Oreochromis niloticus: one gene and its partner. The protein of the gene in region 2 interacts with the protein of the main gene of each other region in a biochemical or structural test. Links are inferred from orthologs where the notes say so. Each region holds a gene or a part of one and is shown on either strand. Other genes may lie near its edges.

The links.
Region 1: the proteins of mpdz (region 2) and htr2aa form a complex in vitro, tested with the Homo sapiens proteins (2 studies listed by IntAct, with this or other methods). The link is inferred for Oreochromis niloticus from reciprocal best matches to the Homo sapiens genes MPDZ and HTR2A.

The regions. Positions count from the first base shown.
Region 1 is NC_031987.2:29,661,392-29,670,754, forward strand, and holds the start of htr2aa (5-hydroxytryptamine receptor 2A), read right to left. Parts: upstream 4,267-9,363; 5' UTR 2,651-4,266; coding exon 2,209-2,650; intron 1-2,208. UniProt on the Homo sapiens protein: G-protein coupled receptor for 5-hydroxytryptamine (serotonin).
Region 2 is NC_031967.2:13,316,412-13,326,145, reverse strand, and holds the start of mpdz (multiple PDZ domain protein), read left to right. Parts: upstream 1-5,922; 5' UTR 5,923-6,225; intron 6,226-9,389; 5' UTR 9,390-9,433; coding exon 9,434-9,449; intron 9,450-9,734. UniProt on the Homo sapiens protein: Member of the NMDAR signaling complex that may play a role in control of AMPAR potentiation and synaptic plasticity in excitatory synapses. Promotes clustering of HT2RC at the cell surface.

The DNA of each region.
Region 1 (9,363 bases), on a different chromosome or scaffold from region 2:
AGAACCCAAAGTTTCCCGGTAGAGCATTGCCCAAAGCCTCACACTGCCTCCACCTGCTTCCTTTCCTCCCATAGTACATAATGGTGCCAGGTGTCCTCCAAATAAGTGATGCGCATGCACCCAGCCATCCACATAATATAAAGGAAAATGTGATTCATCAGACCCACCTTTTTCCATTCCTTCATGGTCCAGTTCTGATGCTCTCCATTGTGGTGGACAAGTGTCAGCATGGGCACCCTGACTGTTCTGCAGCAATGCAGACCAGTTAGTGTGCATCACTGAGCCTTAGCAGGCCATGACCCACTGGTTATCACTGTTCCTTCCTTGGACCACTGCAGACCAGGAACCCCCCACAAGAGCTGCAGTTTTGAAGATGCTCTGACCCAGTCATCTAACTATCACAATGTGGCCCATTTCTCCTGCTTCTTACACATCATCCCTCACCATCAATGTTCACTTGCTCTGTAATATATCTCAGCCACTAACAGGTGCCATGGTGAAGAGATAATAAGTGTTATCTACTGCATCTGTCAGTGATCATATTGTTATACCTGATTTAAAGAAAAAACAACTTTCTGTTTCCAGAACAGATTTAAAGTAGCAAATGAGTAAAGGAGTCTGAAGAAAAGCTTTGGGAACTTAGAAGCTCACCCTTCAGTAATTATCGCAGCTTTTGTAGCAGCTAAGATTTGTTCAGTTCTTGTTTGGGAGGATTTTTGCCTTTTCTTCCTTTGTGCAAAAGGTTTGTAGTTCTTTGAAAATTCTTGGCTGCTTTGCATGTGCAGCTGTCTTGAAGTAAAAGATTTTTGATATTTTGATCAGGGTGACTATGAGGGCCATAGTAAAACCTTCAGCTTCCACCTATGGATTATAGAAAACATTTTAATTTAATCTTTGCTTTTATTCATTATTTATTTTACTGTTCACTGATATTTAATGAAATTCATTCTTGCTCGCTCATAGTGTTACTGGTTGGAACAGATATATAAGTGTGACTGATCAGCCCTATATTTAACAATTCTGCATCATTTTTCTCCCACATTTTTTCTCATTGCCTTCAATAAGTTCTGTTTTAACTATATTAGTCCACAATATTTGTTTTCAAAATGCATGGAAATTTCTGATGGTGATGAACAAAGTATTTTTTTCTCTGATGCCTCCTCCATGAAGGTCATATTTGTGCATGTGTGACACCTAAACATCTTTTGCACTTAAATGGAAGGATTAGAACTGCAAGCAGTTTCACCTCTCATCCAAGAAGCTTCTTCAGTTCAAGAAGCTTCTTGGATGAGAGGTGAAACGTCTCAAACTTAAAGAAGTCCAGACACTTTTCTTTCCAAGCTCCTTAGACCAGCTACTTGTTGCTTTGTTCTTATAGCATTCTCTTTGAAAATGGGGATCCGTTAGATTTGAAAACTGCAATACTTTCCTGATGCCTACTGTGTGACCAAGCACAACAAACAAATCTGACACAACTTGGTAATAGTAGGTCATTTCTCTTAAAGAGTCTCCCAAACTTCTGAATCATATTCCTCGTATTTACTGTCACTCTCCCTTTTTTTCTAAAAATGTTGAAAAGAAAGTATTTATCTATAACTTTATGCCTTTTAAAGACCACTTCACCCTGTGTTCATGACAGCAACAGAAATCTGAAGACGTCCAAACTTTTGCATGCTGCCGTATTTTTGTGCAACAGTGATTTCAAGGACTGCAGTAACTTGGTCTCTGCACCACCTCTGTGTGCCCCTTTCTTGTCATGCTGAAGTAGCACTTGGAGTAAACACTTCACTCACAACAACAGCACCGAACACCTCCATCACTGCTGCTCTCCATCTGTCCTCAAGCTACAGCCATGCATGAATTCTAACATGCACAGACTGGGATTGCCTCATAAGACATATTTTCAAGAGCAGTTCTCTAAAAAGCAAACATACGTTTTTCAAAATGCAAAGAAAAACATCAGATTTAATGTGATTTCTTCACTTCCTTTTCTCACCAATGTCTCAGAAATGATTTGCAGTTTAACAAAGCCTTACACATGCAGGCAGGTGGAGTTTGTTTAGTCATTAGTCATGTAACCATTCATTCATTTGAGGAGAAAAAAACCCACACCAACAACAACAAAGCACTGTGCCTGCTGGACTCGAGTCAGCAACACACCAAATGTCAACTTAGTGAAGCCCAATATGAGTGTCACTCAATGCTTACCATAGAGAATGGTCACCATGGAAACCGGCATGACCAAGATGCCGAGAAGCATGTCAGCTACTGCCAGTGACATCAAGAAATAGTTTGTGGCGTTCTGCAGCTTCTTCTCCAGGGAGACGGCCAGGATCACCAGAATGTTGCCCATGACCGTGACAGCGATGACCACTAAAATCAGCAGGGCTGCCCAGTTTTTCTGCATCAGCTGCTCCAAGGGAGGGCACTGAGACCCGTAGACTCCCGCCACGTTATGGTGAGACCAGTTCCCCAGCTGTGCGTCATTGCCATTATGAACCACATTGTTCCTCTGGCAGCCCAGGTTCGTGGCATTGCCACTTTGGAGGCCACCTTCCTCGTGTGGAGGCCAGGGGTTAGACCCCAGAGTGGTAACGGCTGTGACAGTGTTAGAGATCAACTGTGACACATTGCCACCATGCAGGTTCATGGTGTCAGCTCGATAAATGCTCAGGACCGCTGCCTGGAAAGTGGGTCAGAGTGGCGGAGAAAAGAGGAAAGTCTGTTCATCGCTCACTTGTTTTCCATTCCCGTTGCTCTGAATATTATAAATACAACACCGTTCATCACTCTAGCAATTAACCTGTAATTCAATATGGTTTACCACTTCTTTGCTCCATCATGTCAAATAAAAAAAAGAAGAAAAATCCCTGAATTGACTGTCAGAGGATCAACAAATCATCTTCACAACGGGGAAACAAAAATAGCATTCTGCTGAATTCAGCGCAACCAGAAGAGCAGCTGTTTGATCTCACAGGACAATGCCGAACGCTTAAAAATGATATCTCGCTTGGTTAATAACCTCCCTGTGCCCACAGTCCGTCATCTGGCTCTGTGAAAACAAAGAAACAAAAGTATTCCGTTGCCCAAAATATCCCAAACAGAACGGAGTTGTTTTGACTCCCATATCTTCAGTGATTTAGAAAAAAATAACTTCTCTTCTTATTATAGAATCCACTCAAAGCTGGTGCGATGGCAGTTGCAGGTTTCTCCTGTTTAGAGTTTGAAGTCAAGGCTGTGTTCATGTTAAAAATATCAGGTCCATGTGAAGTCGGGAATGTTACAAATCAGAATTTCATTGCCTGGTTGAAGCAGTTATTCAGTAACTTTGTTTCTTTTCAGTCTTTAATGTATGATCTTTAAGGAGACAAACAAATAAAAAAAAACCTCCAGCCTTGGAATACTGGTGTTATCAGTTTGACACAAACCCTGACTGACGTGTGAATGTTCAGAGTTTGTTTATCCTAACTGACACTCCTGCACAGATGTCATTATGCTGCACGTGTGTGTTTCCTAATGTGTGTGGAAATCTTCAAGCGTCCTCGCTCTCTCGTCTCAACTCATCCCTGCACCTGTGAGAGTGCGTCGGCAGCCGACAGACATGGATGATGAACATGATGATATCTGACATGTGTGAGTATGTGTCACTAACTTTCCAGTCTCCTTCCTTCCTTCACTTGCATTTCTTGACTCATAGTAAGAAAGTATTCTTTGTTTGCTGTAACTAAGAACAATGTCAGACCTCCAGAGAATTAAATATTCCTTACATTTTTCCTCCTTGTGCTTGCATAAGCCCTCAGTGGAAAATGTCAGTCACTCTTCAAATCCTTCATGAATAAACACAGATCTCCTTCCTTCACAGACCTTGATCATTCACTCTGCACATCTTGTCACTTTCCAAAAAGGAAAAAACTAAAAAAGAAGCAGAAGGAAAAGGAGGAGGAAAGCAAACTTCTTTTCTCTCTCCCATCAGCAGACTGAAGAGGCTCCGTGTGTTTTCAGCTTTCCAGGAGAGTGTCGTTAAGTTGTTGAGTCGTCTTCTGTGGTGAACAGGAGCTGAATGCTATTCTGCTTCTACTCGCTCACGCTGCTTCTCACATGCAGCCTCTCTCTCCCTCCCTCTCTCTCTGCAGCTCTCTCACTGGGATCTCCTGCTCTCTCTCCCTTTTTACCCAGGGTCTCTCCCCCGCATACCATATTGGTATGCTCCCTCTCTCGCTTTCTCAAGCGTTCTCTCTTCTATTTATTGTGCCGCTTTCTCTTTCCTCTTCTTATTGCTGAATCTCGAAGTCCTGTTCTCTCCCTCCTCTCTCACACTCTCTCTGTGTTTCTCTCACTCAAGTTAAACCTGCATCTCTCTCAATTCACTTCACTTCAAATGGCTTTACTAGCACTACCATATTCAGCAATATGCCAAAGCCCTCTCTCTCACATACACATACATACATACATATATATATATATATATTTTTTTTTTTTTTTTTTTTTTTTTTCTCTCTCATGTCTGTGGTAGGCTCGCTTAGCATAGGGGGTCTAGCTTTAGGACCCTTACTGGATACAGACGCCCCAGGCAGGAATCAAGAACTTGTGATCCTCTGCTCCAAAGGTGTGCAGTCTAACCACTACGCTATCCAGAGCTCGAGAGGATGTGGAGGGTGAAGGTAACGGTGGTCCCCGTGGTAATCGGAGCACTAGGTGCGGTGACTCCCAAGCTAGGCGAGTGGCTCCAGCAGATCCCGGGAACAACATCGGAGATCTCTGTCCAGAAGAGCGCAGTCCTGGGAACAGCTAAGATACTGCGCAGGACCCTCAAGCTCCCAGGCCTCTGGTAGGGGACCCGAGCTTGAAGGATAAACCGCCCTCAGGGGCGTGCTGGGTGTTTTATACATATATATATTAAAAAAAACAAATATATATAGGTGCAACTGGTCAAACTTGCTGTAGCCATCAACAACCTTGCCTGGCTATTTGACCATTCCTCTTGGCAAAATTAGTAGACTTCATTTAAATGAGTTTACGTCCTGGTGCAGAGCGGGCTTTTAAGTGTAGAACACACATTCTCAATAGGGTTGAGGTCAGAGCTTTTTGGGTCATTTCTAAACAACTGCAGATTCCAGGAGCATCAGTTTAAACAACTGTATATAAGTTCAAATTATTTAGATATGTTGCCACCACACTGCCAAGGTTTGGGAGAAGACCTCAGTTGTCACCCTCAGATGAGAGAATTATTCAGGATCAACCCAGGAACCACCAGGACTCAAGCCTGGAAACCACTGGAACACCAGCATCATTGTCCAGGTGGTGTTTTACATTTTTATGAATTGAGAAGGTGCCAACCAACAAAGAAGGACCTGCTCCAACCGTGTACATGGACAAGCTAAATGCCTTCTGGAGAAAAATTTTGGTCACATGAGACAAAGATTGAGCTTTATGGCCATTTTGCCAGCTGTCAATCATCATAGCATCAAGCCTCTAGGGCTGTTTTCCTGCTAATAGTACTGCATAAAGTGGATGAAATAATGAGTACTTACAAATGATTCAACTTACCCTCAAATCTACAGCTAGACGGTTGAAGCTTGACACAGCTCAGTTTTCAAACAGGACGGTTATCCCAAACACACATCAAAACTATATTTGAAGTGGATAAAGCAGGCTAACATTAGGCTTCTGGAAAGGTCTAAGGACTTGGAAAGAAAAGCACCTAAAGAACAAAGGTCACTCTTTCGAGGATGCCAGTGTTCACATTTTGGACAAAGAAGACAAATGGTTTGAAAGAGCAGTGAAAGAAGTGATGTATGTCCACTGTGAGCGACCATCTTTAAACAGAGGTGGTGGTTTACGACACCAACTATCTGCCATCTATAATCCAGTTTTGAAATCCCTTCCCAGATGCCTTAACTCCCACTCACATCCTGGGCCATTTGACCTCAGGGAATCACATGATAGGGTGGGGCTAGGCTTCACAATGGGTTCACCCGAAACCTTGGCTGATTATGACCCACACCCTTTTTCACACCTTGGCTCGTGTGATTAGGTAGAGGATCAATAGGGGGTCCATGACCCTCCTGGGGACACTCCCATAGGGCTTAAAATCTGGGACTCTCCACCAATTGCTCTTAGAACTGAAGAAGCTTCTCAGATGAGAGGTGAAACATCTTTAAGGAAACTTAATGAAGTCCAGACGCTTTTCTTTCCAAGCTCCTTAGACTACGATGACCTGGATGACTGACAACCTTCACAGACATAGGCTTCTTGAAAGGCTTTCCCAAAGCCCTGATTTTAACCATGTTGAAAATATGTGGACTACACTGAAAAGCTGGGTAAATGACAGGAAACAAAGCAATTTAAAGGAACTCTGACAAGAAAAATGGTCAAACATCCACCCAGAATTATACGAGAAGATTTTTGATGGCTGCCAATATTGCCCAATATTTTCACAACATGATTTGGTTGGCTGGCGGAAAGTGCAGATACATTTGAACAGATGCATTTTAGTTTGCTGCCATCTGTGCTGGTGTTTGAACACTCAGCTCATAGTCACAAGTAAAGCAAAGCATTCACAATTTCAATTGGTCAATGGATGACGTCAACTCATCAAAAAAATTAATGCTGAGCCAAGAGTGCTAAAGCCTGAAATGCATATATGTAGTCAATTACAGATTTACTGCAGGTTTCCATCCTCTAGTCTACTCTAAATGAAGACACAAAGCTTCATATTAAGCAGGAGCACTGAGGAGACTGTAGTCTAACTCATATAAATACATTACAAGCAATCTCACATTTCCAAACACATAAGGCATTCATCTAAAAAGTAGATTCATATCTGGAAGCAGCTCATAGTGCTTTGTAATCTACAGAAAGGCTGTGTTTAAACTGTCCACATTTTTTTCAGCCGTGTACATATTACAGAGGCCACAAGCACACTGCTATTGGGATGCTAAAATTTTAAAAAATCCATAAATGTATGAATGCAAGACATCCACCATAAGCAGTGCAAATTAGGTGATCAAAAATGAGCACACCTCTTGAGGTAGTGGGTAACATACTAACCAACATAATCCAATATAAAAATGCAGGTATTATTCAAGTGTTTGTTTCTGGGAGCAACATGGCAGTTTAGATCAAAGAGAGAGAGCTTAAGGAAAACCGATGTTGTGACATCAGGGCAAACTCTTCTGTTAGAGATTGATGGGCACTCTGTGGGGTCTTGGAGGAAAGGCAGCTGTTCTCTGGATACATCTGAAAGCACAGGTGGAGCACAGAGAAGGAATCCTTCATTACAACAAAAGTCTGCCATACAGATCCACTTATGTGTACGATTGGACCTGTTAGATTGTACAGGAACACATTAGTTATGAGACATGACTCAGACAATTCAGATATTTTTTAAATTCATTTCAGATACATGAGTGACATCAATGATTACATATCGACCTAGATTTTAATACCTTGTGTTAAATATCTAATACTAGTAGGAAGTTTAACAAAAAAAGTCATGAGCATGATTTGTGATGTTGCAGTAAATACACACACAGGCTTTTGTGCTCTCTGCAGTTTTGCTTTTCTGGACTGATCTCTGTTTAGAAGTCTGACTAAAACCCAGGAATGCTGGGAACCATTCAGCTCACTTTAAAAGGTACCTTTTACAATGCCTTATGTACAACCATGACTTGTAATGGACAAGTTTCACTCCCCTCCAACATTGCTTTTGTGCTCTGTTGCGTGAAAGTACCTGTGTTCAGGACCAGAAGGTAGCCTCTGAACATCTGGGTTCTGCATGATTCACACTCTCCTCACCTGATTGTGCTCTGAAAAGGGAGTAGATATTTATTACAGCTGGGCTGTCAATCAGTGCCTGTCAGCTCCTAGATTTCCCCCTTTTATCCTCCTCTAACAGGACTATCCTTCTCCTTTCTTCTTCTTCATTTTGTTCCTCTTTCTTGTCTTCTCTTTCTCTCCCCCTTTTACCCATTTTTTGTGAGCATGTGTGAATACAGACAGGTCTTTCCAGCTGTGTGATGTCCTCCAGGAGGGCGTGCTCTCTAACCAGTCTGGCTTCTCGCTGGCACACCTGCAACATCCGTTGATCACTGCCTGTATAAAAGGACTCATTCACTGATTGCCAGATTATTACATTGCAGTGATGTGGTAACCAGTTCAGTTCAAGTTGTCTTTAGCATTCTGGTGATTTCAACCTTGTACTGGTTCCTCTGGTATGTGTCTCAGTGTCTCAGGCTTCTGTTTATTCGAGAGCAACATCTTGATTCCTCTTCCCCTTTAAGCCGATTTCCGTCTGTCCACTCTTCAGCTCTCTACCTGCCCAGTCCCTTTGTTATTAACTAGGGATGGCACGATACCACTTTTTTTTTATGATAAAATGTTAGCTGCCCAAACCCTAAAGAAAAAAAATAACCCTTTTGTAACAATTTGTCCACTTTAACATGAGAGGGAGGTTCTTCTTTAGAAAGATCTGCATTTCAGCCTTCTCAGCTGTCAGGCTGCTTCTCCTTTCATCAATAATAATAGAGGCTGCACTGAAGAGTCTCTCACTCTCCACACTTGTTGTAGGTGCACAGAGAAATTTAGCTGCTGTAGAAACCAGAGTGGGTAATCTAGGTTGGTTGACTTTCCAGTACAGCAGTGGATTGTCTGAGCGCTGAATGGTTGGCTCACTGAGGCACATTTGCAATTGTCGTGGCTAACTGAGGAACAGGATTCACAGTGTTTTCCTTCAGGATTTTATCCAAAACCGTTTCAGGTGTCTTGGGCTTGAAGATTCCACCCGAGGAGTCTTCTTTGCTGACTCCAAGACTGCTAAACATTATGTCACTCTGATGAATCTAAATAGTTCTCCTCAAAACCTCGTCCATCTTCCTTACCTCTACCATCAAAGTATGTTGGATCTCAACATACTTTGCTGTACTATTCTGAGCCAGGCAACGTATTTTCTAACATTCACTGGTGGTGTATGGACTGAACAACAAGTCTATCTAATCTAATCTCGAATGTCCTCACCATTTTCTGACACACACTCTCTCCTCTTGGTGGCATATTAAGCTCCATTCAAATGTCCTCTAAACATGAATATGCCTGTGTTGAGGATGACCCACTATTTTTCTTCCAACTACCACAGCATCACATCCACTACAGTGTGCTAGCAGTCCCTCACCACGAATTGCAATGTGTGCTCAAAGCATCCCAAACTTGTAACTTGCATTGTCTTCCAAAACAACGTGGACTTAATTCTTCGAAATTTTTCATTCCAACATTTCCTCCATAGCTGCAGAGATGGACTCTTCTGAGTGCTTACCATGAAACTGTTTAGCCTGCATCACTGCTTTTTTATAGTGTAAAAGTAAAACT
Region 2 (9,734 bases):
ACACAAAGCTACATTAGAGCCATAAATACTTAATATAACCTCCAACGTACTGGGTTCTTTTTTTAAAGGTCAACCTTCTAAATCGACTGTACTTTTTTGTTTAGTGCTAATTCACATACATATTAAATATGCTCAACCAAGAAGGAAAGCTAAACATGCTAAAACATTTAGCATGTTTCGCTCATTAACTAGCATGCTAGTTAGCATGCTAAATAGCCTCCTCAAGCAGCTGTTAGCATGGCTACTATTCATTTTAAGTTTCTTCAAGAAAAGATTTGGGTTTAAATTCTTATAATCTCAGTTATAATAGAAAAAATATGTGAAAATCTTTCTTAAGACAAAGGCTAAAACTATTACCCAAGAGTTATCAACCTAAAGTTGAACACTTAAATCCAGTTTTAAAGGCAACATTATATAATGTGTCACAGCCGGATAGAGTCTGTATGACATGCCTTCATAACAGCAGTGAATGTAGTCAAACCACCTGTAGAGTTGTTCAAAGAAGACTTGCAGTTTAACACAGTGAAAAGCATGCTGTGACGGTGTCAATCAAATACAATAATAGGTGCAAATATAAAGACATTTGGTGAAAGGCGCAGTTTGGTCATATATAAATTATCCAAAGTTTTTTTTCCCCCTTCGAAACAGAGCAACGCTAGCTTTTAAAGACTAAGTGGACATTTAATACATCATTCATTCAACGTTATAGCTGCTCACCTCACCTGCTGTGACTCACAGTGCATTCAGAAGCCCTTCAATGCTATATAATGAAACCGAGAGCAGTACACACTGTGAAATATGAGCTTAAGGCCCTAATTTCAGCTGTCAGATTCCCTGAGGTCAGATATTGAGGACTCATCTGTCTGTTACCTTCTCTCAGAGCTCTTTCACATAATGCAGGTTGTAATTTCCTTTTAGTGTAGCGTTACAGAAAGCTGAAAAGACGATGAAGGCAATAAATTGTCGGTAATAAGCTAGCAGGTCGGGTTAGCAATCAACGACTTATAGCAAGTAATGGCACAGATGCTCTCACACATTGAAGATACTTGATGACTAATCACGTTCACTCATATCACAACTGTTGGTTATTGCACATTGAAATTCTGAAATAATATAGCCTAATCTTTCATAGCACGTAAAGCTCTTTATTGATTATATTGTACTTGCAATATACCGCCATTGTCTTGTAAACTCAATTTTCTTACTTTAGTATTACATGTCTGACCCGGATCTGTGCTGAATACCAGAGAAAAGCGAGGGTTGCAGTTCAGCAGTCATTTTAAAAAAAATTCTGTTCAATTGATTTTATTTTATGTCTCGATTGGCTTGACATTTGCCACGGACATTCATGCTCTCAAGTGGCAGAGGGCGATTGATTTTTGGGTGACCCTATGACTTCCCTTCTGACTAAACCCTCCAAGACACAAAACGACCTCTCAAAGTGTCTAAAATCTTCAAAAGTAGCCCCGAGACCGGCATTAAATTCCATCTGCACATTCACATTCCCAACAGGACCAGACTTATTGATTTCCTACGATTCATGTGACCTTTGCTCGACGACAATATCAGGCCAAACTTTCAATTTTCAGTTTTCTGACCCTGAGGAACTACTGATACAAGACTAGAAATACCTACTGCAAGGCCATCATCAAGACAACCTTCTAGTTTTAAAACTCTTAAATCTTCTAGTCTTTTCCTTTTGTTTTGCCATCTACTAGCACTGACCCAACACGCACTCCCACTGTTGTGGTCAAGAAGCTGTATTATAGAGTACTGCAGAAGTACTTAGTGAATTATTCAGGCTAGACCTTTTAATATGAAAAATAAAAGTATGACTTTCAGATCTTTCCGTGAGCTTTTTTATACCGTTTGGGAAAATTTTGTTCCAAAGGCTATTTGAATGTTGATGGATTTATTGGCAATAAATCAAGACAAACAATACCAGCATTCACTCTGCCAATATGATTCAGACACTGAATTTGTGATTCCTTCAGGGTGTTTTTTTTATTACACCATATGACTTCATATAGCAAGTGTGTTTCCAATAAAACATGATATTTAGAAAGTTGTACTTTTCATGAAAATGTGTCGTTTTCGTGCAGTGTAGAGGAAATTGCTGTAAATTTTAAAAATGTTGTTGTATAGCTGAATCACAGCGCTCTTGAATAATCACTCGTCGCATTAATCTCTACAGTCTATTGCAATCAGGCTGTGTGAACGTAAGTGGTGCAAAGTACTGTGTATTAGCTTTCTGCATACTATTCACACAACATATATGTTGGTAATAGTGTTAATCATGTTAACATGGATATTAAGTGTGCCAGTACCTTTGTTACTGTTATCACAGTCACATATAGTCACATAGATAGACTTTGGTCCCAACACAACCGGGAGTTTATTATTATATGTGTAAGATTATTGTACTAGAAATTACACCAACTCTAATATTAATCATAATAAATTGTATAAAATGCAGAACTGAACAACTGACTTGAACTTTCTTTTGCTCAGAAAATGTGAAATAATAATAATTTCTTTCAGCAGTCTTCAGGAATAGTTCTCCAGGCCTCTTGAAGGACATTCAAAGCTCTTCTTTGGCTCCCTTTTGTTCTGTTCCCCGTCAAGAGGATCCCACATCACTTTAGTAACGTTGAGGTCCGGGCTCTGAGGAGGCCAATCCATGACTGATAATGTTCCACTGTGTGTTTTTCTATCCAGGTATGGTATTACTGCAACGGCAGTGTGTTTGGGATCATTGTCATGTTAAAAAATGAAGTCAATCAGTCGTTTCCAGATGGTATTGCATGGTGGATCAAAATCTGACTGTACTTTTCTGTGTAATTATGTTTCCAATTCATTGTTTCTGTAAATAATATTTGAATCCCTGAACATTACTGACTGAAATGCAGCTCCAACCCATCATAGTGCTTCTGTTGACAATGATTTGAACCCAAAATTTCAAATGTGGATTAATCTCTCCATAAGACCTGTTGCCACTGATTTTCAGTCCAGTTGTTGTGTAATTTGGCATATCTCAGGCTTTTCTCCCTGTTTCCCTTTCTTAAGAAAGGCTTCTTGACAGCCACTCTTCCACTGAGACTATTTCTGATGAGGCTTCAGTAACAGCAGACGGATCAACTGAAGGTCCAGTAGCATCTCTCATGTCCCGTGTCAACTCTTTGCTGTCTTTTTCACACCTTTTTCTTAAGGACATTGCTTTCACATACTCTTCATTTGCAATAGATAACTTTTTAGGTCTGCTACTTTTTCTTCTATTCTCCACTTGTCCAGTTTCTGAGGTGCTGTGCCAAAATATGCCACGTTTTCAGCTAATATCTCTTTGGGAATCATCCTGTTGATGCAAAAATACTGTTTGATGCCTGTCAAACTGTGTTATCCTCGGCAGTATTTATAGAGTCCACTAAAGAAATGTGAACAAATCATCTGTTTTTGTGCTAGCAATTGTTCCTTTGGTAAACTGTCTTTTATGTGTATACACAGCACTGGTTGACACTCCCTAGAGTTAGGCGCCTTTTTCATTTGTATGTCATGGCTCTGATTCATAAGTTAACGTTAAGTCACTTAACACTGACCAATGAATCATTCAAGCTTACCTGAAAATGAGTAAAAAGCAGCCCGTGACCAAAGATAAACTTTGACAGACCTTCAGAAAGCCTGGAGAACTACTGCTCAAGGGCAATAAAACCTGGCTCCTTGGAAGCAAAATATAAGGAAATAAGGGATGATTCGTGACTTTTGCAAACGCCGAATTGGTCCAAAAAACAGTTAAATGCAGCTAAAATAATCCTTTTTCAGAGTATTGAGAAAAAGAGATCTGAATCCAGTTATGACAGATTTAACTAGGCTGTCTCAAACAATGACTAATGCTGAAGGCCTGTGACAGGCAGGTATAAAAATATAAAATGCTGAAGCTGCTTAACACTGAGCTAAGATGTTTTTTTCCCCCTCTCTTCCTTTCTATCTTGTTTCAATCTCTTGTCTTTTTCAGCATTTGGCTGAGTCAGACCTCCCACATAAAAGTGGCTTATTGTCAGAGTAAGAGGGGAGTTACAGGGTGGATAAGCAGGGAGGTGGAAGTAAAGATATAAATGGTGAAGGGATTTAGTCAGTATCAGCTCCCTGAAAGCAGCTTGTATCCCTCTCCCTGTTGGTGAAATGACTTCTTACAGACTGACCCTGTTCTTTCCTGCTCTCCTCTGAGGTCTTGATCCATGAAAATAAAAGCAATTGTGGAGAGGGCAGAAATAGTATTAAGAGGCTTTCTTGACCAGCCAGTGCCTAATAGTTGCTTTTCCTTTGCAACAACGTGGAAAACAATGCAAATTACAGCACTACTACATTTCTGTTGTGCTGCTAGATCTGAGTCACAATTAACAGATGACAAGTTCTTTTCTCGTGTCTACTAAATGTTCTGCATATTGAGTTAAAATCACATCATCTTGTGAAGTAATAAAAGCACAGAGTATACTGTTCATTACACTTAAATGCATATTAGACAAATATCTAGCTTTTGCATGAACTTGTGTGGGTGGCAGCATGAAGTATTCATGCATAAGTGTGTGGGTGAGCTGTATGTGGTTAACAAGCTTGCAGTGCATGGGAGTCATATTTAATTAGAAGCATAAACTGCCCTGTTGATTGGACTCTCACACAAATGCTTTGGATTGACTGAAAACCGTTCCAACAATTCGCTGAATCGTTTATAATTAGTGCAGCATATAAAAAAATGCAGAGAAAATATGAATTATTAAGACAAATACATCCCCGGGCTCCAGCCATGGTAGGGATGGGCCTCACGGTAACTTCAATATATGTAATATGAATGAGAGCAATATTACGCTTCCTTTATAGTGTATTTTATGCATTTTAGAGACTGTGTTTGCTCAAGGGCACTTAAACAAATACACTTCTGCACCTGTGATTCACGTTCAGGTCGCTGAGGTCAGGTGTTCCTCAAAAGTAATAATTTTAAGGGCCAAGTTTAACTGCCTCAGACAAAATCGCTGGGCTGTGTGTGTTTGTCTCCCAGGCCAACTTTTTTCAGAGAATAACCTTCTGTGAAAGTTTTGCCGTGATTTATCTGTAATTTCCTGTTGTTTGCCCCATGAAAGCAGTTGGAAAGCTGTTTTCTGCTGTCTTTTCTCCACTTAAACGTCGGTTTATAGGCAGGCCAGGTTAACCCCTCATGCCCCTCTGTCTCTCTTGTTACAGCATCTATGCCTTCTCCTGCCAAAGTGCTACCCGACTTAATAGACTGGTGAAGAGGGCCAGCTCCATCCTGGCCAGCCCCTAGACTCCATAGAGGTGATGTGTGAGAGGATGCTAGCCAAGATAATGTCCATTATAGACAACCCCTCTCACCCCTTCCCAAATTTCACCCAGCAAAGACTCCGATCTGGCTCACTGGACAGCTTTGGAAAATTTGAGGGAGGCCATAAAGTTTCGACTTTAAACTGTATTTTGAAAAGTTTTACAGCTCTTCCTAGTGATAAAGACATCCCTTGTTTTCATTAATAATACACCAAACTAACACATAAGCAATTAAATAACAGAAAGATTCATGTTTTTTAAAAATCTATATAAATTTCTGGGGGTTTTCTAACAGTAATTGAAACAAGATCCTTTTCTATTAAATAACCCCCCCAAAAAGTGTTATAATCACAGTTTAATCTGAGAAATGAGCTAATTTTACACATTTATTTCTTACAATTTATATTTATTTCATTTACAGGAGCAGGATTTCTCTGTTCTGCAGACAAACTTCAGTGTACTGTTGAAATTGCACTTCTTTTTAAGTGTGCATTTAAACTGATTTACACAGACGGAAAAGGGGGGTATCACTGATCCGGGCTCCTTAAAATCATACAGTAGGCTCATAATGTGGCCCGCAATGTAAACCGAGTTTAACATCCCTGCCCTAGTTTAAGTTTATGTGAGTTTGCTTTGTTTTTGGGACTTTAGCTCTGGCCCTACACGGCAGCCAGGGCTTCTTCCATGTATGTAGGGCCTAGTTGTCAGGGCAGCCAGCAAGCGGCGCTTCAGCCCCAGCTGAACTGTCGGTGCGGCTATCGCTGGAAGTGTCCACAGAGGATCGAGTTACTCAACGCCCCATCTTTAAGCCCCAGTCAGTGCGCCGTTAGCCGCAGGACAACAGAGGATAGCTCAAGATACTGGCCGCCGGGGAAGCAGAGCGTCCACACTCATGTAAGTGACTCTCTTTAAACGTGTTTCGCTTGAGGAAACGTTACTGAAGTCTCGAATGTGTACTAACTTCAGCTTTTCTCAAGCTAGAGACCCCCTTTGTTAGCTTTAATGTCGCTAATTAGAGGAAAATATTGTGAGACGTCTTCTGTAGCGGTTGGTCACATAACCACACCAGACTGCCTTTAAATAGATCCAAGAGGCTTTTTTTCAAGTAAAAGTGTTTATATATACTACAAGAAGCCAGCTTGGGCGATTTCCTGTGGCCGTACAGAGCCCTGATAGTGTGTAACTTCTTTCCCGTCTCCGCGTCGGAAGCCTGTTGCTTTCTTGCTAGATGAGATGGGGAAAGAGGAGGAGGAGGAGGGGTTGAGAAAATCGGATTGTCCCGAGTGCCTTGTCGACTGTATTCAAAACACCACCGAACCTGGGCAGAATATACCAGCTTTAAACAAATACGACGTACTAAACGCTTTATTAACAAGAAATAACACGGGCATAGTGCTAATTTCTTTGATTTTGGAGGAACTCCGCGATAAAATAACAGCGTTTTCTTATTAGCTAATTTTACTCACCACAAACCTCACAAATGATTATTTTCGCAAGGAAATGCTACCCATGGAGCTAAACTACTTTTTTTGGAGGCTGATATCTACTGTGTAATAGCGGCTAATGAGCTCCTCCGGCCTTCTGTGATTCATTGCATACCACTATAGTGTGTGCATCCTTAAGGAATGGTAAAGCTACTTTCAGACACTGAACCACATATGTCATTGAAAAAAAAAACACATATAGTATACTACTGTTGCCACAAGTGACTGTAAGGTGCGTGTGAAGGCAGATTTACTACATAAATACATCACTACATGAGTGAAATACACAGCTAACATACTAGCTCATCACTCAGCATAAAGGGTAGGACACATGCAGTGATGAGTGAAGCAAATGCATAAACAAACCAGAGCTGTGGTGATCCTTTTGCCACAGATACTGCAGCTATTCTGAGAGTCTATACAGGGCTTTTAATTGTCTGAGCAATCTCCTTTAATCGTGTAATGTCTCCCTGAGTCATATCACGCTTGCTTACAAAGCCACTCTCCGCAGCCAAGTGTGATGTTCCCTGCATGGGCTCTGTTAGCGAGCACTCCTTAAAAGAATTAGTCAAATACAAACGACATGATCACCTTCATCATGCATTGCTGTTAGCTTTTAAAGCTTTAAAGTATCAAGGCACTGGGAGTCTTTATGAGCTTATTGGCACTGGCTTTGTTTACACAGTAGAGGAGTCACTGCTCCTTCTTTCTCTTGCCTTTCTGATTTGATTGCATGCACTTTGAAGGTAACAGGGTTTTTTCCAAGGCAACAGTCAGTTTCACAAAGATATATTTTTTGACAGATTAGATAGAACAAATAGCCAGACTTCAGATAGATGTTTGAATCCACCCATTGTGCAAAATGAGACTTTGATTTCAAGCACAATGGTACAATGAAATATTGGTAAATTAAGACTTTTCCAGGTAAAATAGTCAGAAATGTGTGTGTCTGAAAGGAACAGTGAGCAGGATGACACCAGTCAATAGAAAGGGTGATTTACTGAAGCAGCTTTTAGGGAGTTTAAAATAATAATTATAAATACATGAGCTGATTACTTAATAATCAGGTATGCATTTAGGTAATTTTTTTGTGTGCAAAACATAAGCATTTTTTCTCTTTTGCTGTGTGTTACCGTAGACATTATAAAAGCCAGTGGTAACCACCGTAGTATTGCTGTTCAGTGATATTGAAAAACACCAACACTGTCACTAAAACCTGCCATTAATGTTGCCATAAGACCAGGTCAGTGTGCCATCAGTCTGATATCAGTCTACGATTGATTGGGTCAATTTGGCAATTACATGCAACCTGACTTTGATAAAACAGCAATTAACTGTAATAAATTGTTGATAAACACATATCTGTTTCAGTCTGCAGAGACAGAAACATTTAACTATGTCTTCTGCATTCAGCAGCCTTCCGGTTTTACGGGAATATAACAAGAATACAAGCAGCTGGCAGCCAGTTGAGTTGAGTCCTCTCGCGTTGTGCTCATTGACAGAGACTCAATCTATCTGTAAATTAGACAGCAATTATTTGCAAACCTTTGACAATCTCTCTGAGAGTGATTGCAGTCCTTCCAAGTCAGACTGCAACTATTTGCAGAAAGGTTACCTCGTATCAGGTGACCTGTGCTATCACCTTACCTTACCCTCAAGCTCTGGACAATCACAAGTTTGGTCGAGCCAGTGTAAAGTAAGTTTGCACAGTTAACATTATCTCAGATTGGTGTTGCATGAGATGATCCATCTTGTTTGTAGTCGTCCCCAAAGAATTTTATTTTAGCTAATAAAAATTTATTTTTTGGTGTCGCAGAACTAATACAATATCACCACCTAAATTAGTGCAATACTGTGCTCTATCTGCTCGCCCACCCCCCACTCCTAATATTGACCAACAGTTTAAACACTCATTTATGAGCTAAGTAACAGTGCAAATAAAAAGTCAGTGTAAACTTTTAATTTATAAGGAGAAAATGAAGAACAATTAAATATGAAAATTGTCATGTTAGCAGGATGTTGTGCTAGTTTTAAAGCAGCTTATAAGATTGTTGTGTGAGAGGATAATTAATTATCAGGGTTGTATGAAGTAAGATGATATTTATCTGATAAGAGCAAAATGGATACTCAAGCTTCATCTAATACCGGCTGTATGAAATTTCAGGAATGTAAATTACTTGGTATTTATTCATCAATAAGAGCATTAGTGGAATATAAGGGAACTAAGAAGCTTGAGTAGAAGCGCTTTTCTGGCAGCCGGTTTGTCGAGAGACTCGACAAACTGGGACAGTTCTTCAGCACAATGGTACTCTGATGCACATAGTGAAGCATTCTTCAGAGATAAATATGGACCTAACAGAAATGAAATAAATCTAGTTTCTTTTTAATGTTAATCTTTTGAACAGAAAATGTGTAAGTTGGGAGGAGAACCCAGGAGGAGGATGAGCCATTTTTCTTGCTCTGAGAGCTTTGTGGAAGTTAAAAATAAAAGAAAACAGCGTGAGTTAGTGGTCTAATATTTAGTTCTCTGATTGCTCACAAAAAGACATTAAATACTGAATTTGTCATTTTCAGGCCTTGATGAAGGGAAGGCTACACATTCATCCGACGCTCTAAAAATGATAGAAACAATGGGTAAGTATTTGGTTTTTTAAATTGTTTTATGCCAGGCATCTATAAAATATTCATGATTTCATCCATGATTGAACCAGCTTTAGGGTTGAGTGTGGTCATGATAGCAGACTTCTGAATCCAGTACCAGTACTCGGTTTAATTAAGATTCAACACTGCCATAATCAAAAAAAGAGAAAATCTTCCTTTTAAAATGAGCAGTTTTTGCACGGGGGCTTGGGTGTCCGTCTTTGCTGGCTGTGCTTTGCACATTTGGCTTAAGCTGAGAGTTTTCTCAACCAGCGTAAG